Linked DNA regions of Lonchura striata. The protein of the gene in region 3 purifies or fractionates together with the protein of the main gene of each other region. This does not show direct contact. Links are inferred from orthologs where the notes say so. Each region holds a gene or a part of one and is shown on either strand. Other genes may lie near its edges.

Region 1 (7,447 bases), on a different chromosome or scaffold from region 3:
CCTGACCCTGCCAGGGTCCCAGGGCAGCCAGAGGGAAGCTCTGGGTTCCCACAGTGAACCAGGTCCTGCTTTGTTCTGTTCCCTTTCCCACCCTCACAGCACCCTCGGGTGGGGTCAGGTGGGGACAGTGGCACCTGTGGGAGCAGCTCCAGGGTCAGGCAGCCGGTGGCACCTGTGGGAGCTTTAGGGCAGCTCCAGGGGCAGGCAGGAGCTGTCCCAGGCCCTTCACACCGCCCTGCACCCCCCAGAGCAGAGCAGAACCCCCCCACTGCCCCTTCCCCTGCAGGGCACGGGGTGGGCACCGTCCCGGGGGGCAGAGGTGGCAGCATCACCCCCTTGGACCGAGGCTGGAGCGTCTCTGTCCCCTGCACTGCCCCTCCTGACCCAGGGCAGTGCAAAGGGGACCCTGGGCTTTCCTCACTGACAGCCCAGAGCTCCCCCCTGGCCGTGCAGGGAGCTCCGGAGAGAAGGGAGCAAACAAAAACTCAATTTTATCACTCAAACCCTCTTCTGACTGCGCCGGTCTTCCCGACAAGGAGAAGGGAGAGATTAACCAGGAGCTGCAAGTCAGGGGTGGCTCCCTCTCATGGCTTGGAGGGACGGAGAGGAAAATCAATCAGGAGCCAGGAGGCTGCACTCTGATCCCCCCAAAAACCTGCACAGAGCACCCCGACCCTGCTCTGAATCTTGAGGGAGCCTAAAGAATCATGGAATGGCTTGGGTGGAAGGGACCTTAAAGATCACTGAATTCCATCCCCAGCCACAGGCAGGGACACCTTCCACCACCCCAGGTGGCTCCAAGCCTCCTCACACCCTTCCCTGCGAGGAATTTCACAAATTCCCCTGCTGCCAAACACCGCTTTTGTTGAGGATTGTCACTTCCAAGCTCTTGCCAAGAGCCTGATCTGGCCAGGGTATTTAATTCCAGTTTGTGATAAACATCTGGGCAGGCACACAGCATCCAGCTCCTCACAGTCCTCAGGAAAGCCTTCCATGCCAAAAAGACGGGCTGTTTATTCCAGTTCTGTCAGTTGGGCTGATAAAAGTGATTATTTCTCTCTCCCAGCCCTGCTTTCTCATTGATCCCACAGGCTGCTCTTCAAATGTCACTCAGCGAGCAGGGAGAAGGTATCCAATTATGGAAAGGGAAAAGATCAGCGTGATGACAAAGCACCAGGGCCAGTGGGCCATGAAACAAATGAGATCTGTCTGGTTCTGACACCCTCCAAGTCCAAGGAACCCAGAAGGAGGCATTTTGGGCCTCTCCCCTCCAAAAAAATTCAAACTGAACTGTTCATAACATCTCTGAGGTTTGGTATTATTTTTGTTCCAATATGAAGCCTTGAACCTGATGGAAATCTAATAATTGCTCAAAAGCACAGGTAAAGTCATGCAAACCTCACAAGCCAGTGAGACTTGGGGTGATGGAATTTATTTTTATGTCAGGCAAATTCCTTCCTTTTTTAGAGCCTGTGGTCACTTGTCCAACTTACTGAGGGCCACAGATGTGTTGTCAAAGACAAAAATCATCTCAAGCCCACCCGAAAAGGTGAGCAAAGATTGCCGGAGAGCAAATCAAGGAACAAAAATCAGCTTTGCCCTCCTTCCTCCAGCACAGCCTCTTGTCCAAAGCCCAGGCTGAGATTTCTTTGAACAGAGTACAACAAAGACAAAATACCGAGCTGGAGACGGGGCTGGCTGATCCCTGCAGCCTGGGCACAGAGCTCCAGAGTCCTGGAGCTGCCTCTGGAGAGGGATTGCAGAGCCAGGGCTGCCTTGGGTAAAAGCCTTGTTACAAAGCAGGGAACTCGCCTGTGCCTCTCTCAGAGCAGCAGTTTCCCACACATCCCCAAATCTGCTTCTGCTCCTGCCAGGACCCAGTGCTGAACATCTGTAGGATGAACATCCTTATGTTTATCAGGAGAGGGGACTTAATTCTTTAGGAATGCTTGGATTTGGTGTCAAAATGCTCAGGAACAGCCCAGCAAACTCACCTGGTCACTACCTGACACCTCGAGTGCTTCTTAGAGCTGTCACATCAGCTCTTACCAAAAAAAGGGAACAGGGAGCTGAGGATGAGGTGTAGTTCCCACAATTTCTCCTTTTCCTCCTGTTTTTTTCTTTCCCACTACTGCACTTCCTGCACATCCTTGCTTTCCCAGGAGCTTTTGGCCGTGTTTTCCCTGCAAGGTGGGAGCTGCTGGCCTGGGGCAGAGGGTGGGAATGGACATTGCACCCAGCTGGGCTCGCCGAGCCCCTGTGGGGCACAGCCCTGCTGGGGTGAGGTCTGTGAAAGCCTCGGGGCCACAGAGTGAACCCAGCAGGTCCCAGCTCTGCCTGGCTGTGTGTGTAGGGAGGGATGGCCCCGTGTGCCTTATTTATCTTACGGGCAGGGGAAGCTCCAGGTAATCAGCTCAGATGGTGAGCTCCTCCCAGGGTCCCTGCTCTGCCAGATGTCTGCAGTGGGAGGGGGGTGACTTCTGCATCTCCTGTTCCTTGTCTCTTCATTTTTAAGCCTCTGAAGCGTGTGGATGCAGAGGTGGAGTGTGGGGAGAGCAGGGAAGCCGCGGGTTCAGGGCAAGACAGACACTTCATAACTGCCTTTAATCTCGTTTCCTGATTCCAGTACCTCATCTGCCCCTCTGGTTTAAACCACCAAACTTCCTCCCTCCCCTATAAATATCCCCAGCACAGCCAGGGCATGGCATGGACACCCAGCAGGCTGTGGTGTGGGACAGTGGGGCAAAGACAGCCAAAAGTGGGGAACCTGGCCCTGGCACCCCAGTACTGCAGGAAAAATGAGGCAGAATGATGAAAACGCATCAGAACCCAAGAGCTGATGAGTTTCACATAAGATTCACCATTGATAAGTGTTTAATTGCTGACAAAGGCAGGAGTCTGGCACTCCTGTGCCATGGGAGGGCCACAGAGCTGCATCCAGCCAGGGACTGACCTGCAGCTGCTGCTGCTGGCATTGGGGTAATCTGGGTGAAAAGAATTCTTTATTTTCTCCCTTTCTGTAGTACCGAGCTGTTTTAGAACCACAGCTTTCAGCTGAAACCTCTGAAAGCAGCCAGGGCCAGCAGAGTGAGATGGGTCTCTGGGAAAGCAGTGCTGCTTCAGAGGGATGGCAGAAATGAAACTCCAGAGGCAGCGTTTTATCTCCGGACAGGCTAAAAGGAAGTTTTCAGGATTCCTTAGCTCTTATTTAGCCAGTTTGTTTGTTTTGGAGGGGAGTGCTTGTGATAGTGTCGGGCTCTGAACACGTGCCTGGCTGCAGCGTGGCCAGCCACAGTTTCCAGTGGTCACTCCCTGCCTGGCCAGTGCTCCCAGCACAGTTAAGGGCTGTCTCTACCCTTGAGCAGCTCTGGGATTCCTGTGGCTGCTTCACTTGGATGCGCCCCACAACTGGGGAGCAGCAAGAGCACCGAGCTGGCGACTGGCAGGGACGGGGACACGGGTGACATCCTGCCACGAGGTGCCACCAACGCCGGTGGGGTGCCAGGGGCTCCCCGAGTCCTCGGGATGTTCCTGGCGCTGTGCGTCCTGCTGAGCACACGGGGGGCACGGGTGGGGTGGGGACACCGTGGGGGGACATCAGTGACGCGGGGAGAGCACTGCGGGCAGAAGGCGCAGGGACACGGCGGTGCCTGGAGCACATCCCGGGGCGGGGACGGGAGGGCACCGCGGGGACGGGGGAAGGGAGAACCCCACGGGGAAGGGGGAAGGGAGAACCCCACGGGGAAGGGGGACGGGAGGGCACCGCGGGGACAGGGAGTGGGGAGAGCCCCCGGTGAGCGCACCCCGGGGCAGGGAAGGGAGAGCACCGCGGGGACGGGGAACGGGCACGGAGCTGGGAGAGCCCCCGGCGAGTGCACCCCGGGGCAGGGGGACGGGAGGGTACCTCGGGGCAGGGGGAAGGGAGAGCACCGCGGGGAAGGGGAGCGGGCGGTCAGCGCACCCCGGGACGGGGACGGGAGAACCCCGCGGGGAAGGGGAGCCCGCAGTGAGCGCACCCCGGGGCAGGGAAGGGAGAACCCCACGGGGAAGGGGAGCCCCCGGTAAGCACACCTCGGGGCAGGGGGAAGGGAGAGCACCGCGGGGAAGGGGAGCGCGCACGGAGCGGGGCGAGCCCGCGGGGCGCGGGGATGCGGCCGGCGGGGCGGGGACACGCGTGGGGCAGGCGGGGGTGGCCGCGGGGTGCGGGGGGGCCGGGGTGCGGTGCCGGCTGCCATTGGCTGCGGCGGGCTGATGTCACGGGCTGCTGTCACTTAAAAAGCTCCGCGGCGCCTAACGGGCTGGGACACGGGCTGGGACACGGGCTGGGACGGGACGGGAGCGGAGCGGAGCGGCGCCGGTGCCCCAGCGCAGCGGCCCCGCGCCTGCCCCGCACCTGTCCCGTATGCGCGGCTCCCGGAGCGGCGCCGCGGCTGCGGAGCGCTGAGCGGAGCCGAGCCCTCCCCGCCGCCCCGGGGCTGCGCCGGGCCATGGCCGCGGCGGGGACGGAGCTGCCCGGCGGCAACGCCAGCGCCAACCAGAGCGCCGCCGACCCCACGGTGTCGCGGGACGTGTGGATGGTGGGCATGGGCATCCTGATGTCGGTGATCGTGCTGGCCATCGTCTTCGGCAACGTGCTGGTGATCACGGCCATCGCCCGCTTCCAGCGCCTGCAGACTGTCACCAACTACTTCATCACCTCGCTGGCCTGCGCCGACCTGGTCATGGGGCTGGCCGTGGTGCCCTTCGGCGCCTGCCACATCATCATGGAGATGTGGAAGTTTGGGAACTTCTGGTGCGAGTTCTGGACCTCTTTGGACGTGCTGTGCGTCACGGCCAGCATCGAGACCCTGTGCGTCATCGCCGTGGACCGGTACTTCGCCATCACGTCCCCGTTCAAGTACCAGAGCCTGCTGACCAAGGGCAAGGCGCGCGTGGTCATCCTGGTGGTGTGGGTGGTGTCGGGCCTGACCTCCTTCCTGCCCATCCAGATGCACTGGTACCGGGCAGACCATGAGGACGCCATCCGCTGCTACCAGAACGAGATGTGCTGCGACTTCTTCACCAACCAAGCCTACGCCATCGCCTCCTCCATCATCTCCTTCTACCTGCCCCTCGTCGTCATGGTCTTCGTGTACGCCAGGGTCTTCCAGGTGGCCAAGAAGCAGCTGCAGAAGATAGACAGGAGCGAGGGGAGGTTTCACACCCAGAACAAGGAGCAGGAGCAGAAAGGGGGAGCCGGGCACCGCCGCTCCTCCAAGTTCTTCTTGAAGGAGCACAAGGCCCTCAAAACCCTGGGCATCATCATGGGCACCTTCACGCTGTGCTGGCTGCCCTTCTTCATCGTCAACATCGTGCACGTCATCCAGGACAACATCATTCCCAAGTACCTGTACATCCTCTTGAACTGGCTGGGCTACGTCAACTCTGCCTTCAACCCCCTGATCTACTGCCGGAGCCCCGACTTCAGGTACGCCTTCCAGGAGCTGCTGTGCCTGCGCAGGTCCGCCCTCAAGATGTACGCCAACGGCTACTCCAACAGCAACGGCAGGAGCGACTACAACGAGGAGGACAACGGCTACCCCCTGGCCCCGGATAAAACCTGCGACTTGCTCTGCGAGGAGGGCTCCTTCCCTCGCCCCGAGGATTTTTTGCACGGCAAAGGTACTGTGCCCGGCGGGGAGGGTGCTGGGGGCTCGGGCGGGGGGTGCACAGAGGAGCCTTTCCAATGAAAATCAACCTCCTTTCGTAACGAGAGTGATTGTTTTTTAGAGAGCGCCTAAAACCTAACAGCTGCAAGAAACCCCAAACTCAAACTCTGCAAGCTGGCCCCTGGCAGGGCGGAGGGGCTGCTGGCAGCCCCCCCTGGTTTGGGGCACGACCCGGGGGTCCCTTAGCAGGGTGGGGGACGCCAGGCTGTGCAGGATGCTCGTCCCCGGAGGGATTTCTGGCCGTGGCCGGGACTGAACTGGCCTGGCACTGAACTACCTCATGACCTTGTGGGAGCTGGGAGCGGGGCTGGACCCCCCTGCCCGGTGGGACCGCTCCCGGTCCCCTTGTCACATCCCCGCTGGTGGCTGTGGGAGCCCTCCAGGCCAGGAGGGCACCTGGGGCAGGGGTGGCAGGGTTGTCCAGCCCGGGGCACTTTGCGGAGATGGCAAAACCCCTGAATTTGATCTGCGACAAACCGGCGGGGAAGGGATGCAGGCAGCGGGGCAGGCTCGGGGCTGCCGGCGCTGGGACAGTTTGATCACCGCCCAAAAACTGCGAGTGCTCTGCGGGGTTTTGTTTTGCCGAGTGCCACAGGACTTTCTGCAGGGGAAAAAAAAAATATAAATAAACGGAATCGTTTGCCTAGAATGTGAACCTGTGACTGTGGGACTCAGGAATGTGGCACTGGGAAGTCGGGTGACACGCGGCTACAATCACAGCCCAGCCAAAAGCTCGTAAAGCGCCCGGTTTGTTTAACTGCGAGGCTCAGATGACAGCGAGCCCGGGGAGGTGGGACGGGAGGAGGTTTGGATTTTCCGTGGCACCCTGGAAGCGCCGCTCCGACCGCGGCACGGCTGCAGGTCGCTGGGGTTGGGTGTGGAGGGGGTTTGTCCCGTGTGCCAGGCTCTGCCAGGTGTCCCCGGGACAGGACAGGACAGGACAGGACAGGACAGGACAGGACAGGACAGGAGAGTCCCTGCCTGGAGGGGGCAGCAATTTGGGCTGGGGGCGCACCCCGGTGCCGGAAGGGTGTGCAGTGCGGGGTTCTTTCAGGAATACTCGGGAAAAGGGCAGGAAAAGCTGCTCCCGGGACCTCTCGGGCCGTGGTGTCCCGGGGAATGCTCGGGCGTGCGGAGTCCCCGCATTTCCACGCGCTCTCCCCGCACCACGGTGATGTGATGTTGGTATTGGTGTTGGTGTCGGTGTTGGTGTCGGTGTTGCTGTTGCTGTTGCTGCTGGTGTTGGTGGCGTTGTCGGCTCGCTCCGTGCTCAGTTTGGGGGTGTGGGGGTCTCTGGGTGCCCAGGGGACCTGGGTGGGTGGCGAGCGGCCAGCCCGGGGCTGAGTCCCGGTGCAGCAGGAGGCAGAGCGGCTTTGGGGCAGCGCCGTGCCCCGTCCCGGAGGAGCCGGGGTGGGACGGGGGCGGAGCGGGTTTCTGGTTACCGACACCCCCGGCCGTGCCCGTGTGGCCTCGGCTGCTCTGAGGACTCGCCCCGAGCGCTGGTGCCCACAGGGCTGGAGGGGAATCCCCCCGGACGGGCAGGGAGCACGGGGGGTGTCAGCCTGGGGACAAACTGCTGGAGCTCTCCGGGTACAACGCGGGGCTCCGGGAATTCCTGCTGCTCCTTTTCCCAAAATGCTGCTGATCCTGCCTGGGAAGGAGGAGCAGCGCTAAGAGCCCTCTCCTCCCCAAGCTGTGACTGACTCGGCTCCTGTTGTCGCCTCGGCACCGAGCGGGGC
Region 2 (7,133 bases), on a different chromosome or scaffold from region 3:
AATGAGGAGACATCAGGTGCCTGCTGCCAATGCGTACAGACACTGAGTACATCCACTGGCAGACTTGGGTGACTACATCTACATGGTTTTGTGGCTTATGCTTTTGAAGGTAAAATTTACATTTTATCTAAACCACAATTCAGGTGCCTAAATGGTTTTTTGAATATGGTCCAAAGAAACTTGTCCAAAATTTTTCTTACTCTGCATGAGTTTTGTAATAATAAATCTCCATGTAAAAAACCAAAAAAACCCCAACAATAACCAAGGACATTTTCCCTCTACTCTCATTAGACACATTCCATGCCCTCCCCTCCCCCCCCTCCCCTGCCCCCCCCCCCCCCCCCCTCGCCACATTTGGAAATTAGGGCTGAGTAAGCAATCAACATAACCATTTGCATTTAAGGCTTGTATCATAAAACTTTACTCATTTCAAACAGAAACCACACTGACTAGTTTTGTGTGCCTTTGCTCAGGTGAAATCAGCTTTCATTGGAGTCTATTAATGGCAGAAATATTTGGTTTCAGCCTCATGTTTTACTACTGCATTACTGTTAAGGAAGTTGGAACATTACACTTCACTTACACTTTTCTACAGAAGTTTTTAAACTATTCTGCAACATTCAGGGATTGTAGTTGTAAAATGTTAGAGAAATCAAAGAAACAGAAATGCAAATAGATGGTATTGTACAGTAATTGTATGGGCTGAGAAAGTCATTAATTTGCAATTGTACTGGTTTACTGCCTATTGAGATCTACAAGAGTTCTACAGAACAATAAATTAAGCAAAACTACTGTCACTCAGACTTTCCAATTAAAGGCTAGTAGAGCCCACTGCCACCCCTGTTTGGGCAGCTACAACAGAGAAACAATTAGTGAAAAGGTAAGATATAATTCCAGACACTGGTTACACTCTGATCTATTAAAACCTAAATATTGCAATAGCCTGTCTGAAAATCCATGCTTATCAAATGTACACGGTTCAAGTATACCAGAGAAGATCTATTAAAATCTGAGGATAAACCCAGTATATTCTGGAGTCTGTTTTATAGAGATCTGGTCTGAATCCAAGTTCTCCAAAACTGTCCTTACTTTGTAAAGAGTAAAGGAAAAAAAAAAATCAGAAATACATAAGGAGATGCTGTTAAAATCTTTCACTAGTATCATAAATTACTATCTCAGGAATGTTGTGTATAGAAGATACTCTTATATTTATTGAAATCTTCATGCAGACCATCTTGCAAAATTCCAACTTTGGTTGATTTGTTTTGGTAAGTTTAATGGCTTATCAAATGCTAACTGAGGTTAACTTTTGTAAAGGGATAGTGAAGGGGTTAATAAAAACTCTATTTCACCCTACAAAGAGCAAAACTCTAAGGTAACAAGGACACCCAGACCTACATTAATTCCTGCTAGCCTTCAGCACTGTATGATAATCTGTAATCTTTTCTGGCCAAAACAAAGAAGAAAACAAACAAAGGTGCTTATCTGCAAAATGAAGACACTGTATTTGCACTTTCTCAGGTATAAGTATACACATATAACTCCATAACTTGAATGTTGTCAGCAAGTTGTCAATGCATGGCTTTTAACCATTAAGTATTTAATACTATCAGGGGACTGGAATGTGAGGCGGCTCTTCTATGAAGACAGGCTGAGAGCATAGGCATTGCTCAGCCTGGAGAACAGAAGGCTCTTGGGAGATCTTATAGCACCTTCTAGTCCCTAAAGAGGCCTACAAGGAAACCAGAGAGGGACTTTTTACCATGTAGATGTAGAGATAGGACAATAGCTTTAAGCTGAAGGACAGTAGGTCTAGATTAGATATTAAGAGGAAATTCTTTACTGTGAGAGTGGTGAGACACTGGAACATGTTGCCTATAGAAGTTGTGGATGCCCCATCCCTGGAAGTGTTTAAGTACAGGTTGGATGAGGCTCTGAGGAAAACCTGGTCTAGTGGAGGGTGTCCCTACTCATGGCAGGGAGGGTGGGGAACTGGATGAACTTAAAGGGGCTTTTCAATCTAAATCATTCTATGATTCTATGTTTCCATTACCTACTATTCTAAAAGTAGTCAGAAATATTGAAGAGGTTTTATAAGACATTTATAACCTAACTTGTGGCATTAAGAAACTTGGGACATTTTGCATTCATAAGGGATCAAATGTCTTTTAAGATGGAAGAATACTTGGAATGTCACTGTTCCCCAAAGTGAGACAAATGTATGACAAAATTTGTTTTGAAACAGGGAGGAGGGAAGCCAGAAAAGCCCCTAACTTGTCTACAGAGTATTAATTAACTACACACTTCTCATACTTCATAAGGCAAGAAAGAAGAACTTTTAAATTTTACACATATAGTAAGAAGTAGTGCTCATACTTTCTATTAAGTATCAGCATCAGATTACTGATATTAGTAACAAGCAAAGTTTTATAGAAGAGAAATTACTATCTTCTGCAAAGACCAGAGATAGAATGGTTCCATGCACATCTTCACCCACCCTTTGCAGCTGGGAACATAATGCTACATCAATTTCAATTAGATCGCTTTACACTAGAAAAACAAACAGCCAGGAAAGTGAGATGGAGCACGTTACCACACTCTGAAAGTGCTACCAAAATATTTTAAAAGTGGTTCCTTGTAGTAAGCAAGTTCCTAATTTTGGACAACCTCAGAACTAAAGAGGGACTCTAGTTTTCTTTAAATGCAAGTTCTAATTGTTGTAGAGAAAATAGTATATGCTGAATTATGTAAATCAGAGGGATTAACTTGGTTGGCTTGCAATTAGCAACTAGGTTGCTAATTGCATACAGCTCATCTTACTGCCCATGCCAGATTTTGTGAGTGTAGAACCCATACATTCTGTTACATTTGCTGTGTACAGAAGCTCAAACCATCACAGTTTTCAGTCACTTGTATTACCAGTCAAGAGAAGACCAGTATTTTTTTCCTAGAATACTCTGAGATACTTTTAAAGCTGGACTGTAAATACTGTTTCCTTTGCAAACACTGTTTGGAAACTTTGTTTTCCTGTAGATTTTCTAAGAAGAATGAATAGGTAGGAAAGTAGTACTTTTGAGAGTATTCCTTTTATTGCCTGGAGGAATTTACATGCCCAAATCAGATTGCTGGCCCCCATGTTATTTTTTAAGAATAATGAAATACCGGACGTTGCTGAAAGCTGCTTAAGGGTCTCATACTGTAAGCTTTTGTTCCTTTCAATTAACAGTAGTGCTGGACTTTCTGGGACAACCACTCAAAGGTCTTATGCCCGAAAGTTCGTGCTACCACTGCCTCCACACTCCACAGCCTTATGTTGTACGGCACGAAGACAAAGCTTCATTAGTCTTCAATGTAAGACACAACTTTAGCTCCACATACTTGTGCATATGTAGCTACTTTTGGGTTTGTAAATCCGCAGGGGAGGCCCGAGACTCCTGCCAGGGGAAAGCCGGCCCCGCGCCCGTGCCGGGGCTGCCGCCGGGCGGGCGGTGTCTCGCCCCGCAGCGGGGCCGCTCTGCGCCGCTGCCGAGGGCTGCGCAGAGCTGCCCTGCCGCCCCAGGACGGGAAGGGCTGCGTTACTCCGAGAGGGGGAAGAGGTTCCGCGGTGGAGGACGGGGACCGGCCGGGGGACGGTCTGTCACGGCGGCAGAGCTCCCGGCGGGGCACAGCAGCTCGCCCTGCCGGCACGGCCGGGGAGGAAGGGCGGGCGGCGCTGGAGGAGACACCCCCCGCCTTTATCGCTCGTACCGCACCGGGGTGTGCTGGCTCTCGGCGCCGCACAGGAGCCTTGTCGGGGGACAGCGACTCGCAGGAGCCCTCCTTATCCTGCCCCAGCAGGCTCCGTCCCACGGACCGTGGTCCGGGGCTGCAGCCCGGCCCCGCCTCCCCCAAAGTCGATTCTGTGCTCTCGGCTCTTCTCCCCGCCGCGGCGCCCGACTTGGTTCAGCCCGGGGCAGGCGCTAGGAATAAGCCCTGTCCCCTTTGAAGAGCCTCGGCTCAGGCTCGCCTCTCCCCTCCCACCGCCGCTGCGCAGTGCTCGGTCCCGACCGGGCCCTCCCGCCGGGGCGGCTCCAGCGGCTCCGGCTGCAGCTCCACAAGTTCCTGCTGCCCGTGCCCCGGGCGCGCGCACGAGGCTGGCCCGGCCGTCAGCGGCGCCCGGCGGGAGCAGCGGGAGCGGCGGCGGGAGCGGCGCCGGGAGGGGCGGGAGGAGCGGGAGGAGGGCTGTTGTGCGGAGCCGCCGATGCCGCTGTGAGATGGCATCATTCTGCGCGGCGGCGGCGGCGGAGCGCGGCGCGGAGGGGTGAGGAGCCGCCGCGGCGGCGAGGAAGCGAAGAAGAAGAAAAGGGTGGAAGGAAGGAGAAGGAGGCGGCGGCAGCTGTGAGGCTGCGAGCCACGGTGAGTAAGGGCACAAACCAGGCTGTGCCGCAGCCGCTTTGGTTTGCGGTCTCGTCCGGTGGAAACACGGCTGCCGTCCTCGCCGCCGCTCGGCCGTGGGCAGCCGGGGGGGTGGGCGCTGCACGGGTGCGATCTGCCCCTGTCACCGAGGGGCGGGGAGGAGGGGAATGGGCGTGGGGGCTAAAATGGCGAAGGGAGCCGTGGTGAGGTCTCGGTCGCTCCTTTCCGGCACTTGGACTCGTCGCACCCCTCGGGCTGTACTGGCGGGGGGCGGTGGCTGCTGCTTCTCCCCTCCCGATGCCCCACACGGTGTTCGGAGCATTGCTGCTTCCCTGCCGCCTCCCGCTCTGGCTCGCGTCTGGACAGGGCTGAGGGCCCCTGGGCCCGCACCTGGCGAGGGGAGGGAGGGTCGGGCTGTGGTGAGCCTGTGTCTCTGTGGGGCCGGGGGAGAGGGAGGGGGAGTGTCGCCGGTGTCCGGTGTCAGGCGAATAACCTTGTTTATTCCTGGCTACGGCCTTTGCGAGGGTGACGGCGAGCTGAGTCGTGACCTGTGTCAACGCTGAGTGGATTGCGAGAGGCTTTAGTGGCCAGGAGTCAGTGAGGCAGCTCCGCGGCCAGCCCTGGCTTATGTGCGGGCTGGAAGCAGAGGAGAAGGATTTTGTTACGTTTCTGTTCACCTTCCTTTGGCGAAGCCGGGGAGGGAGGAGGTGAGGAGCCGTGTCCCCTCCTCGGTGCGCTGCTGTCGCCCCTCACGGTGCCAGCGCAGGGAGCACGAGGTGTTCTCGGTCAGCGCTCAGGTTATAGGTGTCTGTTCGTCTCTCGGGGTCCCTGTGATGGGTGTTCGCCTGAGCAGACTGTGTGAATTGAAGACCTCAAAAGACGTGTTTGTGTCCTTTATCTTTGTTTATGTTGTTGCAAAATGTTACAACTCAGTGTGTTTATTTTCTTGATTTTATTTGTGATTGTCTTATTTTTGGAATGATACCAATTCTCATCCCAGTTTAACTGGGATGATCTAGCTCTGCTTCCAGATCTATAAATGTTTAAACTGTACATCAAAGAGAGAAAAGGCCTTTACACCGTCTAGTCATTTTAATGGGAGCTCTTCGATGTTTGGGTGAAACTGTAAAAAAAGGTATTCATAGTTCAGTTGCATTTTCACAGGGCAGCTGTATCTTATAAAAAGTAATCAGGATGCCATGGATTGAAAAAAAAACTCAGGTTGTGCAAGTTTAATAATACTGGTTTACTAGGAGATGCAATCACGGACTGCAGGTAGCTGTGTTATATATGGTCATACCTGTAAAAGACAGTATGATCTTCATAGTAATAAGTCTACTCTTAAAATTGGTATACTGGTTTAATATCTACAACATAGAAACAAATGGACTGATATTAGCTGTGATAATGCTTTGCTAACTTGAACTGGTTGTATATTCAAAAAAAAAAATTTCCGTACTGCCTTATCTGAATCGATGTTGGTCCAGATCTAAACTGAATAACTATTTCTGATCGATTTAAATACTAATAAAGATTAAATAAATTTACTTAGAGAAGAAAATCTGAGAATTTTTCATCCTTTTGAGAAAAATTTTGCAGCTGCAAAAGCACAATTTACTTGGATTCATGACTAAGATGCTTTTAAATGGGGCAACTAGAAATACTTTTTGTTGATGCTGCTTGTGAACTTGTGGGTTTAGAATTCCTGTATCACCTCTTCAGTGCGGATTTTGAGCTATATTTTAAAGGTCTAGTCCCGTAAGTGCTTCTAGCTTGTGAGCAGCTTAGTACTATCTGTGGACTTCCCCCAGTGACACTGTAGAATAATTCCCTTAAATACAAAATTATACTTGGACGCTTGAGAGCTTTGGGACTGATTTATTCTCTTGGTATGGGACACTTTGTTACCAAAAGAATACGGATTATTTTTGTTTGTAAAATAGTTTGCATTTGTTGCTAAATATCAGTAAAAAACCACTGTAAGCCAGTATGTTTTTGTTAAAGGGTTTTCAATAAAGTTTAAATAATCACTTTGCCTACAAGTGCTTCTTAAATCACAGGAATACTGATGGAGTTCAGAGCCAACCCCTTTTCTTGAGTCTGTGGAACCCTTGGAAGGAGTAATGTCTGCTAGTTTTACTGCTTTTCATCTTCCTTTTTATCTTTCAGTATGAAGTTGGAAATTTTGATAAGTTGGAATTTCTGCCCACTTCCCTGTTATTTTTCGTGAGAGAATGTGTGTGGGGAAAGAGATTCCTTCTGGGTTTTGGACAGGAAGAATCAGAAGTAAGGATCTACAACAGGGAGTTGGTATCACATTCAATTTCTTCATACTTCTTATGCTATTAAAACATTAAACTTAAAAACTAAGGTGCCGTGATTGGAAATATCACAACCTAAACCATGTCTGTTAATTGGAAATGGCTTCTCTTTATGCATTTAAAGCAAATACTCATTGTTAGCTTAAAAAAAATCCTGCAACCACAAAAAACCCCAAGTTCATTTTAGAATTGAGATAATGAAGTGTGAAGGCTAGGTGAGGTAATGGAGTGATAACCAATATAAGTGCTTGCTGCAAGCTGTCTTTAAGTGATTCTTTTAAGTTACTTTTAGCTATGTTAAAAAAATTCTTCCAAAGGACTGAAAAAGGAGTGAAGCTACTGATAAAAATGTTCTGTCTTTTAGGCAAGCCTTGTACTGCACTCGCCTGCTTCTGCAGAGTATAACATTCACCTGAA
Region 3 (8,052 bases):
ACCATTTTGAAATACAGAGCTAAAGCATAACCTTTGATAAACCAAAAGAATGTATAATGAAAAAAAAATCTGAGTTTTTTAGAAAATTCTATTTCAAATACTTTAAACATCTTTCTAGTATTCTTGCTGGATCGCAGAATGACAGAATCGGATGAGTTGGAGGGGACACAGAAGGATAATTGACTCCAACTTGTGGATATGAGAGTCTGGTCAGAGAGCAAGAAAACTAGATAAGTTTTCCCAGAATCAGCCTGGGAGATTTTAGGGAGTTGGAGATAAACAATGATATCCAATTATTAAAAACAGCCTGCAGTTAGTGTCTTCCTAATATCTGTTTTCTTGATATTCTCATAAGATTGTTTATAAATGTGTGTCTTGTTAATTAGCTAATTGGGTGAAATGTATTGATTAAATGACCAATCAGGTCCACCTGTATCAGATCAGTGTATAAAAGAAGCAACACCAAGTAAAGATGCATGCTTATGCCACTCAGCCTTCTGACTGACTTTTTGTCATTTCTTACTGAACAGTCACACCAACTCTTAAGTTACTATCTTGGCACTATTGGCAGAGTACCATGCCCTGACCAACGGAGTTAATATCATGGCATGTTGGAAAGATCCTGTAACAAAAATACACACTTTGCATAAAAGAAACTTTATATAATCACAAATATTTTAAGATTTCTCTGCAAAGTGCTAGTCAGAAGGAGAGATAAACATGAAAAGAGGGAATGCAGAAACAAAATTCAAGAGAACATTTTCCTCAGTACTACTGCGACTCAAGCACATTGCCAAATCCTTCTTCCTCGCACTATACGGTAAAACCCCATCAGAAAAGTTACATGTTACATCAAAAAAGTTACAACAGCAAAACATGTTACATGTTACTAGACTCACAGTAAAGTTTATTTTGTATCTTAATCACTCCTAAATAATTTTGATTTCATAATCCTGCATATTCTCATAGCCTTTACAATATCAGTGACCATCCCAGGTTTTTAAACATGACCACGTGTATGAGCCAGGTATGGAAGCTCTGCAGCTATGGCATGGACCAAAGTGTCACCTAGCTCCAAGACAGCTTTAAAATATTTTAAAGAAAAAAACCGCAAACTAATAAACATTTCAAACAGTGCTTGAGTTTTGAGACTGAATATTTTTTTTTACAGTATGTGCCTTCTGAAAGCAGAATCATCAGAAATACAGAACGCTCTTTCTCAATAATAAATGCTATCATCTAAAGATACAGATAATACGAGAAAAGCTGCTCCCAAATCCTGGATCTTTCAAATCCAGGAAACAGTTTCAATCTCCAAGTTTCTTTACATCACTGATTATTTCTCCATTAAAAAAATAAGCCCAAAGGAAGACTATTTAGCAAAAATTTCTGTTCTTTCTACAGCTCTGAGAGATGAACAACTGTTCCAGTGGAGATAGTAACAAAAAGAAAGTCTGTAGACATTCTTCTGAATCCCGGAGTTTTGGAAAAAGTTCCTCAGTACACAGATCTACAGTACCATAAATTAACTTTTTTATCTCACTATTTTGATGCGACAATATTTCACAAATGTAGCCTCACAAAGTTATGATGAGGGCAAACCTCATTTCTCTTATTTTTATGAATAGATTTGGGATCAGACACAACAAAGATGAACAGAAACAAGTCCATTAAGAGAACATTTCACATGTTTCATTCATTCACTGCACAAAACATAGAAACCATTCTGGAGCATGAGTTTTCTTTTCAGGATTCTCCCTTTGATAAGGACACGTTAACCTTCAGAAAACACGCATCTTCTATTCTGACACTCACTCTAGCCCATTCTCTGTGTACAAGGTAACAGCTTCACAGGGAGGGCAAACACTGTCTCCACATCAAATCAGGCCTAGTCTCAAACCAGGATGGTCTGTAAGAAGATGGGCTCAAAACCTGGATCTTCCTACTAATAGTAGTTTATTGATGAGTCAGGAGAACTTTGCAAGCTTTTCTGGCTTTGCTTTTAGAAAAATGTAATGACTGTTATCAAGATCATTGTGCATAATACCCACCCTTACAGATTTACCAAGTGCACAGTGAGAAGACTGATAAGCTACAAAGATTCTAAATGGACCTAACCTCTGGATTTTGAATGGTCTTCAGCATAAATGTATAATTACGTCACATGGAGGTTGAGAGAGTTCTAGGCATAGGTTGTTTTATTTAAAAAATAAGAAAATAATTTTAAAAGGAGAAATAATTTTTAAAGTTCCAAGGGAAAAAAAAAAAAAAAGACAAACAAGGAAGACTTTGCCAGTTTCAAGAAAGGGTTTGTAAAATAAGGTATAATCTTTATGCCTTTATGGAGGCTGGAATATTGCCATCTTCCTTGGAGCTACTAACTTCAATAGCAGACACCATGATCTTCATAGGTTCCACCAGTTAAAAAAAAAAAAAAAAAGAAAGAAATTTGGCTTAATTAATCAAATTAATACTTTTTTAAAACTTTATGTGAATTTTTGTGGACTGTATCATGCATAAGGCCTGTAAAAGGTTAGTGAAGGCTCGTGATAATTCATGTGTGTACAAAGTCTTCACTGCCTATTGTTGATCTAAGATGATAAGACCTGATTGTCTTTGCAACCAATTTTTAAAATCCCATGTCAGGATCTATAAAACTTTTAATATTTAACTAGAGTATAGCTCATTTGACAAATGCAAAAACTTAAATCCTGAAAAATATTTGGTTAACTTAACATCTAAAAAAATGCTAAATATTTTTGGCTAAACCTCATAGTATATTCTCCACTTAAATAAAATAAAATTAATGTTTTGGTGTATTTTTTTGTTGTTGCTGTTGTTGTTGTTGTTTTTGACAAAAAGGCTCCATGGAAAAATGTCAATTTTGCATAAATGCAGAGGCCAGAGACTGGTGAAAGTCAGTGCTGGCACTTCACCATCCTTGCCACAAGGTGGCATGACGAGTATGCTTTAGGAACACAAAAGTAAAACGAATACACTGAAGTATTAAAAAGAGCAGCAGAGGCTGAATGTGTACGGGTGATTTTTGGCAGGATGCAGGAAATGTATACATATACATACATAGATTCTTCTGCAGAGCTGTCAGTCTGAAGTTTAATATGCATAACACATGATTAACTAAACTATGTCAGCCTGTTCAGTGGTCTAGATTTAAATCACATATAGCCATACACGAAATATGGTGATCTAGGAGATGGCTGATGTCTAGTGAGAGGGGAGGTAAGACAGGGCTATGAGGTCTGCAGGGTATATACAGGGGATGATTTGCAGCAGCTTAGTGAAGTATTTTATTTTTCTTCAACAAATTTGGAATAGGCAAATGCAAACAGTACACAAAGCATGCTGCACATACCCCAACTATGTAGGATGATCCTCTTTCTTACCTATCTAGATTAAAAAAAAAAAAAAAAAAAAAAAATCCAGATTAATATCCACTGGAATAACAGATTTGTATCTTCAGCTTCCTGGAAAATGCAATTGCTCTTTATCATGTCTGCAGATTTGTCCTTGGGCAGGTGAACATTAAGAACCAGCCCAGAATTGGCAGAACAGGAGATATGACCCAAACCCTGTGGATGAAATCTGCATCCCACCTGGCTGCCAGCTTTCTCAACTCCTGTAGCAACTGGAGACCATGGAATTGTGGCTTCTATGACTCATGAAAGACACAATTATCTTTTAAATTACAGAATAGAATTAAAATGTGCAAATAAACACATGCAAGAGACTACCTGAGTCTGAAGGCATGAGAAGAACAAAGAAACACTGTCAGAAGAGAAATTTAATCAACTCTTCTTCTCTTGAAAGTGTTTTTTTTTATGGTTGGACTACAGGATTTTGAAGGTCTGTTCCAGCCTCAATTATTCTGTGATTCTAAGAGCTAAGGAAGTATGAATGCTTACCATGAGATGCTGCAAAAGCACAGAAAATCCTAATTTACCCACAAGAGACTTGAATTCCTTTGGCCACAAAAAAACCCCACATGAGAATATCCACAAGGCCAAGGAAAATGTGACTTTTTTTACTTAAGAAAAAACAGCAGGAATAGGCAAACACTTCAAAACTTAACCGTTAGCATGAAAAGTTAGCTGTGTATCTCAGTTTAGTCCCCCGAAAAAATGGTGTCTTGGGGTATGTCATCCACCACCATCATACTTCTCACTGAAAATTTTGTGTCAGCAGGGAAGTGAGCTAGAATTAGAAAATGTAGCATTAAATAACCAAACCCAGAGCATTTACCAGAGAAACAGGACAACCAAAGTAATAATGAAAAAAAAAAAAAAAATCAACAGTTGGAAAAAATTCCAGGGATGATTTACAGTAATGTAATTTTTATTGCTAGGACAGTCATTGATACTGCCGTAGATAAATTCAGGTTAATCAGTACTGATTTTCAAAAGTTAACAGAGAGGATCCTCACATAGTACAATATGTACTACCCTGAAAGCCAGGACTGCTTTTTATTTCTTGCCATGATTTTCTATCATTTCCTACCAAGCTTTGCTCACTTCTTTCCCATCTTTAGACACAGACACATACACACAGAGATAAAAAAAAAAAAAAAAAAAAAAAAAAAAAAACGAAACAAGGAAGAAAACCTAACCAAACAAACCAAAGCAGCAAAATCCTACCAACCAACCAAAACCACCCCAAAACCCAATGACCAAGAGAAGGAAGGCTTTGCCAGTTTCAGAACAAGGTCTGTCAAGTGAGGCACAACTTTGCTGTCTCCGTAGAGGCTGCAATACTGCCATCTGCACCAACAGAGCATCACCTGCGCGGCGTCCGCCGCAGCACACGACCCGCTCCGCCCGGCCGGGCGGCACAAAACGCGCTCCGCCCGCTCCCGGGCGGCGGCGGCGGCGGCGGCGCGGAGCCGGGGCTGCCCCGGCGGGGCGGGGCGGGGCATGCGCGCCCGCGCTTGTTTGTCACACGGCTTATAAGGCGGGGCCGGCGGCGGCGCGGCAGCGCCTTTGTGGGGAGACGCCGCGTCGGCACCAGCGCCGCCCGCGCCGCGGCCGGGGCTGCCCGCCGCCCCCATGAGCCGCCTGTAGGGTACGCGCCGCAGCACCCTGCGCCCCAGGGGCTCGGGGCTGGTTGTTTTTTGGGTTCCCCCTTCCCCCTTTTTTTTTTTTTTTTTTCTTAACAGTCTATTTTTGTACACTTTGCTATAAAAACCATGGTGCTGGGGAAGGTGAAGAGTCTGACGATAAGCTTTGACTGTCTGAATGACAGCAATGTCCCTGTTTACTCTAGTGGGGATACAGTCTCAGGAAGGGTCAGTCTAGAAGTAACTGGGGAAATCAGAGTGAAATCCCTTAAAATCCATGCGAGGGGCCACGCTAAAGTACGTTGGACTGAATCGAGGAATGCTGGATCCAACACTGCCTATACACAGAACTACACCGAAGAAGTGGAATATTTCAACCATAAAGACATCCTGATCGGCCACGAGAGAGGTAAGGGCTGCCCTTAACTGTGCTGCTTTATTTTTTTATGGAAAAAAAAGCACGCATCTTTGTATCACCCTGGTTTAGTCCTGTCTTTTAATTAGGTGCATTGGAGAGCAGGACGTGCCCAGGGTCGTATCTTGGCAATGGAGTTACATGTAGGAAATGCATTTGCAAAGTACCTGCAAGCAAGAGGACTCCCTCTGAACTACTTGCCCTTCATTACGGCTATATATTAATATAAGTTTTTTCCGAGTGTTTTACCTTTTATTTTTTCCTTGGTGATATTTAGTAGGATTTGCTGTTCCGTGGGGAAAAACAGCTGTAAAATTACAGCCAGATGGGCAGCGGACTTTATTGGCAGAATCCTAATTGAAACACAGCGAAAGCATAAAAACTATACTTTTTGACACATGAGGGGTTCTGCTGATGCTGTTGGAGTGGTAATACAATGCATTTTTCAGGATGGTTGATTATTTGCAGATAAAAGGGTCTCCCTAGCTTATTTTGACATCTCACCACCACACGTGTAATTTTTCCCTCATTTCAATATTCCCCTCGCCCTGGTAAAAAGCTTTAATTTCCTTGGGCCGCCCCTACACCCCGCTGGGCAATGGGGGTCACCCCGATGTAAAGATGTGTCCGAAAAGCCCTTGATGAGGAGCAAAAGGAGGGGGAGGAGAGAGAGGGGGGGAAGCGATATTGCGTAATGGAAGCATCTCTCCCAAAACTGGGGAGATGAGGACTTCCTGCTCCCCACTTCCCACTCGAGCCGCCGTGGTGTCCCCACGAAGCGCAGACTCCTTCCCCTGGGGGGTGCAAGCGCCAGGGCCCGGGGGTTCTCTGTGGTTTTTTATTTCTTTCTCCCCCGAACTTCGCAGCCTTTGTTCGAAGCGGTTCAATCCTGTTTGGGACCGGCTTTGTGGGAGGGGGGTGGGCCGCCCGCTCCGCGCAGATTGGCCGCACTCGTCAGGTGGTGGCGATGACTTAATTCCCCAGTGCAAGAAAATAATGTTAAAACCCGGTTATGTAATTTTTTTGGGCTGCTTGTCCCCCCTTTTTTTTTTTTTTTTTTCTGAAAATACATCATATACACAGCAGCGATGCGATATTTCTCGTTTTTTCTTAAAAAATAATAAATGTAATTTTTTAACAACTCCGGGCGGCACCGAGCGCCTTCACACAGTATTCCCGAGCTCAAAGCTGTAGCAGAACTCGGGCCTTTTTTTAGTTTGTTTTTTTTTTTCACGTCTCGAGCACACCGCGCTAACGAGGTGACTTAGGGCTGCCACCGCCTCAGAAATCAGACACCTGAGCGTAACTTCCCGCGGGTTCCAAGAGCGTGGAGACGGGAGTCTGCAGCCGCGCAGCAGCAGCCGCCCGTGGCGGGGGGAGCACGCGTGGGAGCGGGCGGGCCGGGAGCCCCGCGGAGCCGCGTCTCGGCTCCGGCCGCGTTTCGCCGCCTGCCCTCAGCGCGGCCCCGCGGCCCGGCCGCGTTTCGCCGCCTGCCCTCAGCGCGGCCCCGCGGCCCGGCCGCGTTTCGCCGCCTGCCCTCAGCGCGGCCCCGCGGCCCGGCCGCGTTTCGCCGCCTGCCCTCAGCGCGGCCCCGCGGCCCGGCCGCGCCCTGATTGGCCGGCCGCGGTTTGTTGCCCTGTTGCTAAGGCGATGCCCGCCGCTGATTGGCGGGGCGCTGGCGGCTAGGGTGAGTGAGCAGGTTTCGCTGCCTGCCCCCGGCGGGCAGGGGCCGCTCCCCGAGGCGCTGGCTCGGCGCAAAGCCCCTCAGAGAGAGAGAGGCGGCAGGGGGACGTGCTTGCGCCCCGTCTCGTCCCTGCCCCGTCACCTGAGGGGTCTGCCCAGCGCGGGCGGCGGCAGGGTCCGCCCTGGGTGCGGAGCCGGCGGCGGGGCTTGGCGGCGCTCCGGTTCAGGCCGGTCGGCTCCTGCTCCAGCCCGCGCTGATTGACAGCTCAGCACTTGTTTACCGCGGCGTGGCGGGACTGCTGAGCTGGCAGGAAGGGGGGGGAGCGCTGCTTGCAAGCTGTGGCTGCGCCGCTCTCCGCCAGGCTCCCCCCCCAGCCTCGGGAAAAAAAATTAAACAAAAAAGAACAACACATAAATCATATTTCTTATTTTAAAAAATCGTATTTATTATCATAAAAAAAAATAAACCAAAACAAACGCAAACCAACAGTATAAAAGTCCACCTTCAGGCCGACACATTTTCTTGCCTTTTCAGCACATTTTCCTGACCTACGTTGAGTAATGTTGCGTGCTGAAGGTGTATTTATTTCCACATCTTGCTGATGGGACGGGTTTTTTTTGTTTGTTTGTTTTGTCATTCGTTTCTAAATTTTAGGTATTTGCACTCCAGGAGGTAGAGCATCGCCTCTTCTATAGGACAATAGAAACTCAGAATCCCTCCATTAATGCTTCAGACCATCACACATAAGCTGTTCTCTTTCAATTTGTCTTGCTATAACCCCTTTTATAATTCCAGCCCTTTTTGTCTGCGAGGTGTTCAGTCATTTTTCACTCAACTTTTATTTTGACCAAGTCAACGTTTTTCTTGTTTCATGTCATAATA

What was found.
Region 1: the proteins of ARRDC3 (region 3) and ADRB2 purify together in Homo sapiens (affinity purification with western blotting; 6 studies listed by BioGRID and IntAct, with this or other methods). This does not show direct contact. The link is inferred for Lonchura striata from reciprocal best matches to the Homo sapiens genes ARRDC3 and ADRB2.
Region 2: the proteins of ARRDC3 (region 3) and WWP1 purify together in Homo sapiens (affinity purification with mass spectrometry; 4 studies listed by BioGRID and IntAct, counting the BioPlex papers as one, with this or other methods). This does not show direct contact. The link is inferred for Lonchura striata from reciprocal best matches to the Homo sapiens genes ARRDC3 and WWP1.

Annotation. Positions count from the first base shown.
Region 1 is NC_134617.1:1,908,754-1,916,200, reverse strand, and holds the start of ADRB2 (beta-2 adrenergic receptor), read left to right. Parts: upstream 1-4,434; 5' UTR 4,435-4,487; coding exon 4,488-5,661; intron 5,662-7,447. UniProt on the Homo sapiens protein: Beta-adrenergic receptors mediate the catecholamine-induced activation of adenylate cyclase through the action of G proteins. The beta-2-adrenergic receptor binds epinephrine with an approximately 30-fold greater affinity than it does norepinephrine.
Region 2 is NC_134603.1:27,224,974-27,232,106, reverse strand, and holds the start of WWP1 (NEDD4-like E3 ubiquitin-protein ligase WWP1), read left to right. Parts: upstream 1-4,055; 5' UTR 4,056-4,395; intron 4,396-7,133. UniProt on the Homo sapiens protein: E3 ubiquitin-protein ligase which accepts ubiquitin from an E2 ubiquitin-conjugating enzyme in the form of a thioester and then directly transfers the ubiquitin to targeted substrates.
Region 3 is NC_134642.1:67,596,588-67,604,639, reverse strand, and holds the start of ARRDC3 (arrestin domain-containing protein 3), read left to right. Parts: upstream 1-4,987; 5' UTR 4,988-5,200; coding exon 5,201-5,480; intron 5,481-8,052. UniProt on the Homo sapiens protein: Adapter protein that plays a role in regulating cell-surface expression of adrenergic receptors and probably also other G protein-coupled receptors.